3 linked regions of the Danio rerio genome follow. The protein of the gene in region 1 interacts with the protein of each later gene in a biochemical or structural test. Links are inferred from orthologs where the notes say so. Each region holds a gene or a part of one and is shown in the gene's direction. Other genes may lie near its edges.

Region 1 (4,102 bases):
CGGTGGTAGCGGAGGCACCGGGTCACTTGGTGGTAGTTGTGTCAGTGGGCAGATGCAGAATCCAGAAGACCTGCCCACTTATGACCAAGCCAAGGTTCAGTCGCAGTACTTCCGTGGCCATCAACCCCAGCAGCCTCAACCACAGATGCCCCCAACAGTGGGTGCTGCTTTTTATGTGACTGGAGTCACCAACTCTAAGGTGCGACCCCCAGAGGGCAGGTCCACGGTGCAGAGAATGAATGGAGGCAAAGTACACCAAGATGATGGGCTCAAGGATCTAAAGCAAGGTCATGTACGTTCTCTCAGCGAAAGACTAATGCAGCTCTCATTGGCCACCAGCGGGGTCAAGGCCCATGCTCCTGTTACCAGTTCACCACTTTCCCCCCAGCTGCCTCCACCAGGACTTCCAGGAGACTACTACAAACCTACTGGGCCTCCACACAGGGGGCCACCTCCAGACTATCCTTTTAAAGGTATGCCCTCTCCACCCAAACAGCAACAGCACCATCAGCCTCAGCACCAGGAGCCTGGACACTTCCACCCAGACCACCGCGGTACAAGCCAACCAGCCAGGACTGACATTCCTCATGTCCGGTACCAGCCACCACCTGAGTACGGCTCTTTTCGGTGAGTGTGCCTTAAAGGCTAAGAAGTGGGCTGAATTTTGGGACTTTATGGGAACTGGTGCGATGCACCTTACAGCGCATATTACATTCCCTGGCATATCAGTTGTTAAAAAACTTCAGGTGATGAGTCTCAAAACAGCCCTTCCCTTAAATGCTGGGACATGTTGTCAGGAAACCTGTTATGGGAAAAGCAAGTTTTGCCTGTTTCCCTGAATTCATTCACTGTAGAGCAAGTGTGTGGCATATAGCAAAAGTATGCATATCAAATTCAAATAATCATCTACAACATGTCACAGCATGACAGTTTGTCCATTATTGTTGTAGAGAACCAGGAATGTTGACCTGTGAAAAATATTTTTGTGAACGGTTGGTATGCAGTACATAGTCGTTTCACAACAGTGACTGAATGTCTTGAAAGAAGCCGTTGGTTATGCAAGTTTAAATTTATTTTGTAGGTCACAAAGTTCTCTAGAATTTGTCTACTACTCTTGCAATCAATCAAGATGTGAGTATAATTCATTATTCTGCTCCTCAATAGGTCAAGTAAGGAGAGTTCAAGCCACTCTCAAAGGTCCGTCCATCACCACAGCCCTTCATCTTCGGTTACGTCTGGAGGCTCTCTCTCCCGTGCTCAGTCTTCCACTCTCAGCAGCATCTTGGCTGCTTCCCATGCGCTTCCACCAATGGGTCATTCGGGAGAGCCACCCTTCCCCATAGGTGCTCGAAGCTCACAGGGGCCTGGTTCTCACCAAGGTGATCCATACGGCCCAGGCCATCCTCCTCATCAACGGAGCCACGTGTTTCCACATGATCATTATGGGTCAGCTCCAAGGGGCCTCCACATGCTCCAGCACCAGTACCACCAACAGGGCCCCCAGCAGCAGCAGCAACAGAGTCCAGCACAACACTACTCACATCCACTCTCCATGCAGGGGGATCCTTATGCCATGCTTGCCCGTGCCCAGCAGATGGTGGATATGCTGTCTGAAGAAAACCGCTTGCTTAAGCAAGAGCTGGAGGTGTGTGGGGAGAAAGTGTCCAAACTACAAAAGGTATGACTGTCTTTGAAGTTTCTCATTACATTACCATTACACAATCAAATATTTAATTGGGGACCCTTGAGTAAGTGAGATAGAGAAAGACATGTTTAATGCTTGCTCAATTTAGGTCATAACCTGTACCACATCCACTTAAATGAAACCATTTCCATGTCAGTGCAAATGTAGGTCAGTTCAGGATAGGTCAGTGTTTTCAACTTTGTTCTTGGAGGCACAGCAACAGAAAACATTTTGGATGTGTTGGGTATCTGATTATTCTGTTTCTGGAGTCCTGTAGATTCTACTTACAAGCTGATGAGTTGAATCAGGTGTGTTTAATAACAAAGATGTTTAAAAGTGTTTGGTGTTTCTATGGAAAAAAGAGTTTATAAATATTATAATAAGCTCTCAGATGACCAAGGATCAACTCTGGCATGATAACCATCTAAACTTTTGATTCAACAAGCTTTGAAAAGATTTTTAGGTGACACATCAAGAGTGACATCAACATCAAGAGTGACACATCAAAAGTGGAAGGCAATGTTGCATGCTATGTTTTAGTTGTACAAAATCTGTTTTGTTGTTTCTGTGAGGCCTCAGCAATGTAATCTCTTTACAGATGGAGACTGAGATCCAGATGGTGTCAGAAGCTTACGAGAACTTGGCTAAATCATCCACAAAGAGGGAAGCTCTTGAGAAGACCATGAGAAATAAGCTGGAGATGGAGGTGCGCAGGGTGCACGACTTCAACAGGGACCTACGAGGTGAGAAACATAGCAATATATCGGAGTATTCTGAAAGTATTAGGAGGAGATTATTATGAAAGGAAGATTCATGAATTGTACTTTACCACTATACTACACCTTTTAGCAGTAAAATTGTCACTGATCTCAAAACATGTTTGTGTTGTTCTTGGCTTAAATTGCTCTACCAATTGTGGTTTTTATCCCCTGAGACCTTTTCTTGTAACATAAATATGAGATCTCAGTGACCCTTCATAGACAGTAATGGCCCAGAGACATTCAAAGCCCAGAAAATTCACCGGAAACATTGCCAAAACATTCAGAGTGACATTCTCAGTGGTTTAACTGTAATCATACAAGGACACTTGTATAAAAACTTTAAATATTACTTCACCTTAAGCTATTTGTTTAAATACCTTTACTCCCACATCAAATCAGTGTGCATGTTTAATACAGGCAGTGCTATGTGTTGCAGTTGGAGTCTGCAGAGCAACTAGGGATGCTCATTTTGGTTAATTTTGCCAACCAGAAACCGCTGCTTGTTAACTGAATATTAACCATTAACTAGTCAGATTAATATCAAATTATTATTTAATTTAAAACAAAATAATTAACGTGTCTATTTTGTTTCTGACACAATAAATATTGCATTTTAAAATACTGATTGATTTTAACATGTGAACATATTATCAACAGAACATTTTCACGCACCTGCAGTGTTTTCGCCAGTATAGAAACAAGAATAAGCTAAATAAAAAGAATAAAACAAATAGGTCTACCTATTTTTCACTTAAATTACAAATTTAGATTACAAAATGAAAACACTGACTGAATCCTTTTTAAAAACCAGCATCGGCTGTTTTTTTTGCCATGTTTTTTCTTCCAAGAAATAAAAATATCAGGCTACCTAAAAGCGCTCTATGGAAATGTGCATTTATATAATGCTCCGCTGTAATTCTTATATCACAAACCACTGTCTACATTTGTAATAGAAGTCATTATTTTAAAGATTATGTCTTGAGCGTCAGGTTTTACCTTAGAGCTTGTTTGCTTTTATATCCTCTCTTACTCACTGTTCATGTGCGTGCGCTGCGTGTAGTAAAAGTCAAGGACAAGGTGCATATGTTGACTTTTTGTGTGTATATATATATATATATATATATATATATATATATATATATATATATATATATATATATATATATATATATATATATATATGTATGTATGTATATATATATGTATGTATATATGTATGTATGTATATATATATGTATGTATATATATATGTATGTATATATATATATGTATATATATATGTATGTATATATATATGTATGTATATATATATATATATATGTATAGGGTTGTAACAATATACCGGTATGACGGTTTACCACGATTTGAACGTGCACGATTATCATACCATGAACAATTGCATATCAACGGTTTTAACCCTTAAAGACCGAGACAGCCGCCCGCGGCTAAAAATAAGTATTGCTCTTAAATGTTTAATAACTTTTGATCCGCTGATCCGATTCATACAATTCAAAGATTGGCATAAAGAAGAGAGTCTCAGCTTTCCAGTGCTGTATCACATAACATTCGCGGACTTTCAGAGGCTCCGGAATCAGTGCGGTTACGTCATCAACATTTGACAACGCTGATTTGACAAAGAAACGCTCGTCACTGTGTC
Region 2 (4,102 bases), about 14 Mb from region 1:
AAATTAACCGAGACCTGAGGCTACTAACTTACTAACCTAACCTGTGTCCAAGGCACAAAACCCATCTGGGTTCTTCGTTCAGACCATGGGTTTTTAGATTTATGTGACCCATGAAGACATTAAGCATGAACAAGTACCCAAAATACAAATATGTTGTTAAAGTTCTCCCCATTTTAGGTTATCCACAATGTAGCTGACTTTTTAAGTGCAGTGTAACATTGAATACAATTTAATTTCTGCTCAAACTGCTTCTTGGTGTTAATTATAACACAAATAATTAGTTACAAAATAGATTAGATTAGATTCAGCTTTATTGTCATAACAAATTTACAAGTACAAGGTAACAAAATTCAGTTTTGGCCTAACCAAGAGTGCCATAGCATCAAGTGCAGGATATAGGTTATAAAGTGCAATTATAGAAAAACTATGGTGATATTTACATATGGATGTACTATGAACATTATAAACAGATTGTATTAACTGTGAACAGAGATTTACAATAGATGAATTTATGTACAGGTTGCTATTAATAATCAGAAGTATGCAGATAGATAAAAAACATGTATACATGTATGTGCAGTGGATATGTACACTTCAAGATCAATTAGTACAACCAAGTGAAATATAGGCAAGAGGGAATAGTGACATTGAAATCTTGTAAAGCAAATTGAATTGTTGGTCTGTATTAAAAACTGAACGTAATTTACTAAATTAATCCACAATCCTAGAAAAACAGTACTAACCAAGTTCATGGCAGTCAAGTTTCGTGGTGTTGGTGCATACAGTTTCTATTACAGACTGACCTTTGATTTTCATAACACCTTGGTTTGACTTCAGGAGAAATTTATTTTGATGTTGTTTGGCCCCTAACATATTTGTTGACTTTTTAAATCCATCTAGGTTTTGGATCAAGAGGTTCCAAAGGACTCTCCGATAACATTTCACTTTCTTGCTAAATTCTTCCCAGAAAAAGTTGAGGACGAGCTCGTTCAGGAAATTACTCAGCACCTCTTCTTCTTACAAGTATGTGGGAGTTGTTCTTGTGAATTTGGCATGATTGCTCTCCATCATGGTCTTTTCCGCTGTACAGAAACCTCATTTGGGGGAATGAATAATCTTATTTTCTTCAGGCCAAATTCTTGAGATTAAAATCCCTTCTGTTTTTTTACAAAGGTTAAAAAGCAGATACTAGATGAGGAGATATTTTGTTCTCCAGAAGCCTCCGTTCTTTTAGCCTCATATGCTGTTCAAGCCAAGGTAGGTCTCCGTATCAGTGTTTTATGAAGGGACACACTCAATGTATATCGTTTTATTAAATATGACATTCTTTCTGCAGTACGGGGACTACGATCCAAACTTTCACAAACCAGGTTTCTTAGCTCAAGATGAACTCTTGCCCAAAAGAGTGAGTAATGGCTCTACTTGACTACTTGAAAATAAGCCAACATTTGCATTCTTTAAGATGGTTTATGTGATCTGTGTGCTTTATTGTGCAGGTGTTGATGCAGTATCAGATGACACCAGACATGTGGGAGGAGAAGATAACCGCTTGGTATGCTGAACACAGAAACATCACAAGGTAAAACTGTGCACGTCCTGCTGCTGTTTGTGTGTGTGTGTGTGTGTGTGTGTGTGTGTGTGTGTCTAAACCACCTTCCTCATGAAAGATGAACTACAATTGAGCTTTGTTTGTAGGGACGAGGCTGAGATGGAATATCTTAAAATAGCCCAGGATCTAGACATGTATGGAGTTAGCTACTTTTCGATTACAGTAAGTATTTTTTTATTTTTTAAAGTTGGCTTGAAATTGAATTTTCAGTAGTCCATTTTTCCATATAGTTATGAATAGGGATTTCCCTATTTTTTTTTGCCCCCGAGTCATTTGATTTTGAACATATAGCGATACTGAAACCCGATCCGATGCTTCTATAATACATTAAAAAAATAAAGATGAGTGAAGAAACAGATCCAGGATGTTTTTTTTATTTTTTATTTAATTCACCTTATTTTAACATTCAACAATTCTGTTAACAAACAGAGCACTTATGTGAGGTAGTTTGAACATTCATTCATTCATTCATTCATTCATTCATTCATTCATTCATTCATTCATTTTCTTGTCGGCTTAGTCCCTTTATTAATCCGGGGTCGCCACAGCGGAATGAACCGCCAGCTTATCCAGCAAGTTTTTACGCAGCGGATGCCCTTCCAGCTGCAACCCATCTATGGGAAAGTAGTTTGAACAATCAATTAATAAATAACATGAATTCTTCACCTTTGGACTTAAGTGCAACAGTAAATATAAAAACAATCACATGTAAAAAAAAAAAAAAAAATAGCACCTCAACTTAAAATACCCGGCAGATTTGTAAACAAAAAATAAATAAAAGTGCCAAAGTGTTTGCGAAATCAGTAATTTGCTTTTAGGAACTGCACTCTTAACTCTAACTGTCATCACAGTAGTAAGTTTCACAGAAGGAGATGAATGTTTTTTTAATGAAAACTAACATCTCTACCTTGTCAGGTTTGAGGCTGTCTCATCAACCTTTTAATACCTTCAGACTGCAGACATACCTGCCCTGTCCGTTTTAAGCAGCTTCTGTGTTCTAGTTTTCCGCCATTTTACCAGTAGCGTCTCTGCAACAAAGTGATGTCACACCGCACACGTTGCTGATCCGGAGGTAATGTCGGATTCCGATCGAGTCTGAATTTGCCTGATCAAGCCTGATTTCTAATCACGTGAACAGATTTGGAGATCCATTGTAATGAATGAACCAGAATTAAGTATATTAGGGATTACAACCATCTAATCACAATGTACATTTACATTACATTGTTTTAAAAATAACTCGCACTAGGTGAAATCGGTTAAGTTGTCAGCTTTATTTTTACAAATATAGATGTTATAAGGCTAAAAAACCCCATCACTACACACTTTATACACTTTTCTCGGACAAGCATAATATTTTCACACTTTTTTCTGTTGTTTAAACACTCAAAGTTCAAACCTTTGTAGAAAAATAAGTCTAGTATTGTAGAATAAAACCAAAGATCAAAACCATCTGATCTTCACTTATTTATTCCATAATGGTGCCCTGCCGTCACGTAACATCTACCTTTCTTTAGCATGTCCAGAAGTTTAACTTTTTGTGAAATGGTTAGCATCTTCCTCTGCTTTTTGAGTGCTACCACAAGTGCCTTTGATGGTGCAGAACGTTTCATTGATATTGTGGGGAGAAAGCTTGCATACTGTACAGCACTTCAGAAGCACACCTTTAGCGATCTGTACTGTACAGAAGACATGGCACGGAGAATGTTGATTGGCAACGGTCTACAGCCAGTCAGGCACTGTAGAAAAAAAACATGTGAAAAAATCTGCGAAACTGCGAGGTCGCAAAAAGTGAACCGCATTATAGTGAAGGACCACTAATATATATATTTAGATTTAATATTTATAATTGTTTAATATTTTCTTTATTTTTTACATTTTGATAATAGATATTGTCTAATTTGACCTTTTATGACATTGTGAAGCCATTTTTTTTCCACAACATGGTTGATTTCTGACTCTAATGTACAATTCAAACTGTCCCACCATGATGTTTCACAGCAAAATAAGAGGGACACAGAGCTTCTTCTTGGAGTTGATGCTCAGGGTCTTCACATTTACAACCCCAACAACAAGCTGAGCCCTAACAAATCCTTCCCCTGGAGTGGAATCCGAAACATCTCCTACAGCGAGAAAGAGGTTGAAAGATTACCTCTTTTTTTAAACACAAAATATGCAAATAATTTTACAGAACTCTCACAAAAATATTTAAACATTCTGTATTTGTCTATTCTCAGTTTACTATCAAACCACTGGACAAGAAAAAGGAAGTGTTTAAATTCTACTCATCCCAGCTTAGAGTTAACAAACTGGTGAGCTACTTCTATGAGTATTTGTGTAATAAAGTATATTCAAGTAGTTGCTCACATAAATTTTTTACTGTATATTTTAGATCTTACAGCTGTGTATTGGGAACCATGACCTGTTCATGAGGAGGAGGAAGGTGGATTCAATAGAAGTGCAGCAGATGAAGGCTCAGGCCAAAGAGGAGAA
Region 3 (4,102 bases), on another chromosome or scaffold:
GTTTCATCCACAGAGATATCAAGCCAGACAATATCCTCATTGACCTGGATGGACACATCAAACTGACTGATTTTGGTCTATGTACGGGGTTCCGATGGACTCACAACTCAAAGTATTACCAAAAAGGTAAGAGAAGGTGATGCTTATAGCCTTTAAAAAGTCCTTAATGCTGTTGCAGTGTTTATTAAATCCAATGAATTGGTTGCCTTCTCTCTTTGCACTGCTTGAATAGGGAACCATATCCGACAGGATAGCATGGAGCCAAGTGACTTTTGGGATGATGTGTCTAATTGCCGTTGTGGTGACCGGCTGATGACTTTGGAACAGAGAGCAACTCGACAACACCAGCGCTGCCTGGCGCATTCTTTGGTGGGCACCCCTAACTACATTGCCCCTGAGGTGCTTTTGCGCAAAGGTAAGAATATTCACATAGTCACTCGGAAGTACAAGGACATTACAAAGAATTGCTAGTGCCTATAGAACCTTTTTCTTTTTAATTGCTCCTTTTAATTAATTTTAATACACAGGATACACACAGCTGTGCGACTGGTGGAGTGTGGGAGTGATCCTGTTTGAGATGCTGGTTGGCCAACCACCCTTTCTTGCTCCAACCCCAACAGAGACGCAGCTTAAGGTAAGAGTTCTGTATGCATGTTTTTAGTTGATCCTGCTCCTGGAGGGCAAGTATCATACAGAGTTCCAACCAACCCCAACATACTTGGAAATTTCTAGTAATCCTGAAAACTTGAATAGGTGATTCAATTAGGCAAGACAGTGCCCATGCAGGAAAAAGGACTGCACATCTTTGTTTTCTTTAAATAATATTTTATAATATTTGAGGTTAAGAGTTTTGATGACAAGAAATAAACTTTTGTTGATGTCACTACCTCTACAGGTGATAAACTGGGAGAACACTTTGCAAGTGCCACCACAAGTAAAACTAAGCCCAGAGGCAGTCGATATTATTGGCCAGCTTTGCTGCTCTGCTGAAGAGCGTCTAGGAGGCAATGGGGCTGGAGAAATAAAGGCTCATCCTTTTTTTTCCGAGGTGGATTTCTCCAGCAATCTTCGGACACAACCTGCACCATATCGACCAAAAATTGCCCACCCCATGGATACATCCAACTTTGATCCTGTTGAAGAGGAGGGAGGCCCAGGCGCCTGGAGTGATAGTGGGGATAGCACCCGCACTTGGGACACCCTCTGTTCTCCTCACGGCAAACACCCTGAACATGCCTTCTATGAGTTTACTTTCCGAAGATTTTTTGATGATAATGGTTGTCCATTCCGTTATCCCAAACCCCTAGAGGCGACACAAAGCCTGTCCAGCAGTGACGGGGCCGGCAGCCTGAAGCCTGAGCTGGAGGAGGAAGAGGCCCATGAAGAGGAAGAGCAAGGGGAAGGGTGTGAGCCGGTTTATGTGTGAAAACGTTGGATTGGTTGTTCATGCTGCTCTGCCTTTACCCATGGAGGACCTCACCAGTTAACACGCTGCATCTTCTCTACTTCCTTTCAACACTATTTTTTCTTCAGGGTGTTGCCTGAAATGCTTGGAAGAACATCAGAAATTTAGTGCAGAAAGTTCCAAGTAAAATGTGTTTATTCCCATAAACCATTATGCAGTATCATTTAAAAATGACTGAAGCTCTGACCTGGGACCAAGGAAATACACAAGACCTGCAGCTGCATATGGACGTTGATGTGACTGATACTCTTCTATGAGAGCACAAAAACAGAGATGTGTAGCTGTTGGTCTGTGGTTTGACGTTTAAACCACTCTACTCATGGTTAGTGTGTTGTGTGTCAACCGTGTCCTATTCTTTTATTCCACTGGGAGAAAGAGTCCCAGTCTTACGTCATATGTTAACACATCCCTCACCTCTCTCAACCTGGTGATGCTAACATTCCAAACACCCGAGAGTTTATGGTGAAGGATTACAAGAGTGCTTGGCTTGGGATGGTAGCTCTGTGGTTTATTTTTAAAAGTTCATAATACCAAACTGAATTTTATAGCTATAAATCCATAAATGTGCTGTAAAACCTATTTTTTTCTGCGGTATTGAAGCCAGATTTGGAATTATATGATCTCAGTCTTTTTTTAAAGCGAGCAAACTTTGTTTTAGAGGATTTTGTGGCGCCACCAAGTGGTTCAGAGTGACATTGTCAAGTGTCTTCTTTTCGAAGATGTAAGTCCTATATTATGGACTGACAGTATTAGGTCACTTCTTCATGCAAAGTCTGTCCAAAAGACCATGCAGGATTTTGCAGTTAATAATTAATAATGACAATAAATTATTAATTAATTAATAAAATAGTCTTTTGTAAATATAATACAGTTATCCTTCATTTATGTTTCATGCCTAACGGTGCTCTCAGTCATGACACAATATTAAAATAAAATGTTTTGATGTACAGGCAGCACTTCATGGACATGGGATCTTAAAACTCCCATTATTACAATTATTAAAGGTTTTTAAAACATACTTCAATTGTCTAAACAACCGCCTGTTACTTGAGAGCTGAGGCTAAGCATAAGTATAGTCATTAAATACATAATGCCACAAAAAAACGGATATGATATGAAAATATCATTCACAATATGAAAATGTAAGAGGTAATTAACACTCTTAAATTGTGAATATTAAAAGGCCTAAATCCTGCTTAATGTTTGCTTACCAGTTGCATTGCAGTTTTAAAATTAGTTATTTTTGCTTAGTTGTGTTATATCAGTTGCTGTTTCATTCAGGTGGTATTTAAATTCAACAAGCATTTACCTTGCCTGGCTTGATTTAAATAGTTTCATTGTTTTAAGGCTTAATGATTTCGTTCCCAATAGCTGCTTACATTCATCAGCTGCTTGCGTGTGTATCTAACACTTGCAAGACACATCGTTTTGTTTTGAAGTGTGTTTTCTCAGACCGCTGCAGTTGGCTATCCGGAACAAATTATATAAATTAACTCCAAGAGCTGAGGCTACAGCTATATCCTTTTCTAGTTATGCAAAAAGATTATACGCCTTTCATCACAAGTAACTCTGTTTTTTTATCTCAGAAAATGTATCATATTTCCCACCTCATCTTAATTGCATTTAGTTTCATAAGAAGATCTTAAAAGTCAGACGGGTGGTTTTGTTGTGTGTGTTCTTGCTTATCCAGATCCACTGGAAATGATCTTGTCTGTCACTATCAGTGAACTTATTTTATTATACACACACACACACTCACAAATGTAATCAAACAATTGCAAGATGTTTTGTCATCAAGGCTGCTCACACAGCACAGTATTACAACAAGACAGTCTATGACTGAAATGTAAAAAATACTTTGAGGCAAAAACTTTAACGAAAATGGTGAAAGATAGTTACAAAAGAAAAATGTATCTGATGGTATAACTATGTGCAATACAGAAATACATTATATAGTTTTCTAAATACAACAAATAGCCTTTATAACTTCAAAACTGAATTATGCTATCTAAAAGTATATATTCTATTGATTTATATCTATTTTCAATATAGTTTCATGACCCAATGCTGCTTATTGTTATTAATATTACACTATATTATCATCAACCTTTCAATTATACTTTCTCTTTGTGTAAAAAGTGTGGTTTTGATTGTCAGTGTGATTGATCCGATGTAAGACGAACTGTGTGCCTTCTAATGAATGTGTGGGTGTGTTTACCACGTGCTGATCAGTATTTCTGGAAAGAATGGAAATGCCGTCATTTCTTGCACTCAGGCCGGTCCTGAACGTAAGAGGCGGCATTTGGATGATAGCTGGAGAAAGACGAAAAAAAGAGTGAATGATTGTCATTGAGACTCTGAAGGAGATGTATTTGGATGTCGTAGCATGGTGGATATGGAAACACATTGTATGTGATTGGTCAGTGATAAGGATCCCTAATAAGTCCATATAATAATGTTTAATCATTTGTAGTGAAGCTTGATTGAAGTCAGTCAAACTACCCTGTATGACGTCTGACTGGATGAGTTTTAAAGTAACAGCCAGTGATGATCCGCTTTTATATATTGCTCACTCCTAAAAGTCACATAAATTCCTAAAAATATATTCAATTCAGACTTGTACCTAAATTGTCATCA

Evidence for each region.
Region 2: the proteins of amot (region 1) and nf2b form a complex in vitro, tested with the Homo sapiens proteins (2 studies listed by BioGRID and IntAct). The link is inferred for Danio rerio from reciprocal best matches to the Homo sapiens genes AMOT and NF2.
Region 3: of the proteins of amot (region 1) and lats2, one has a biochemical effect on the other in vitro, tested with the Homo sapiens proteins (3 studies listed by BioGRID). The link is inferred for Danio rerio from reciprocal best matches to the Homo sapiens genes AMOT and LATS2.

Annotation. Positions count from the first base shown.
Region 1 is NC_133196.1:41,176,847-41,180,948, forward strand, and holds part of amot (angiomotin), read left to right. Parts: coding exon 1-627; intron 628-1,164; coding exon 1,165-1,678; intron 1,679-2,282; coding exon 2,283-2,427; intron 2,428-4,102.
Region 2 is NC_133196.1:27,251,538-27,255,639, forward strand, and holds part of nf2b (NF2, moesin-ezrin-radixin like (MERLIN) tumor suppressor b), read left to right. Parts: intron 1-900; coding exon 901-1,023; intron 1,024-1,173; coding exon 1,174-1,257; intron 1,258-1,336; coding exon 1,337-1,405; intron 1,406-1,496; coding exon 1,497-1,579; intron 1,580-1,695; coding exon 1,696-1,771; intron 1,772-3,610; coding exon 3,611-3,748; intron 3,749-3,846; coding exon 3,847-3,921; intron 3,922-4,001; coding exon 4,002-4,102. UniProt on the Homo sapiens protein: Probable regulator of the Hippo/SWH (Sav/Wts/Hpo) signaling pathway, a signaling pathway that plays a pivotal role in tumor suppression by restricting proliferation and promoting apoptosis.
Region 3 is NC_133184.1:22,913,298-22,917,399, forward strand, and holds part of lats2 (serine/threonine-protein kinase LATS2), read left to right. Parts: coding exon 1-126; intron 127-232; coding exon 233-415; intron 416-527; coding exon 528-634; intron 635-895; coding exon 896-1,426; 3' UTR 1,427-4,102. UniProt on the Homo sapiens protein: Negative regulator of YAP1 in the Hippo signaling pathway that plays a pivotal role in organ size control and tumor suppression by restricting proliferation and promoting apoptosis.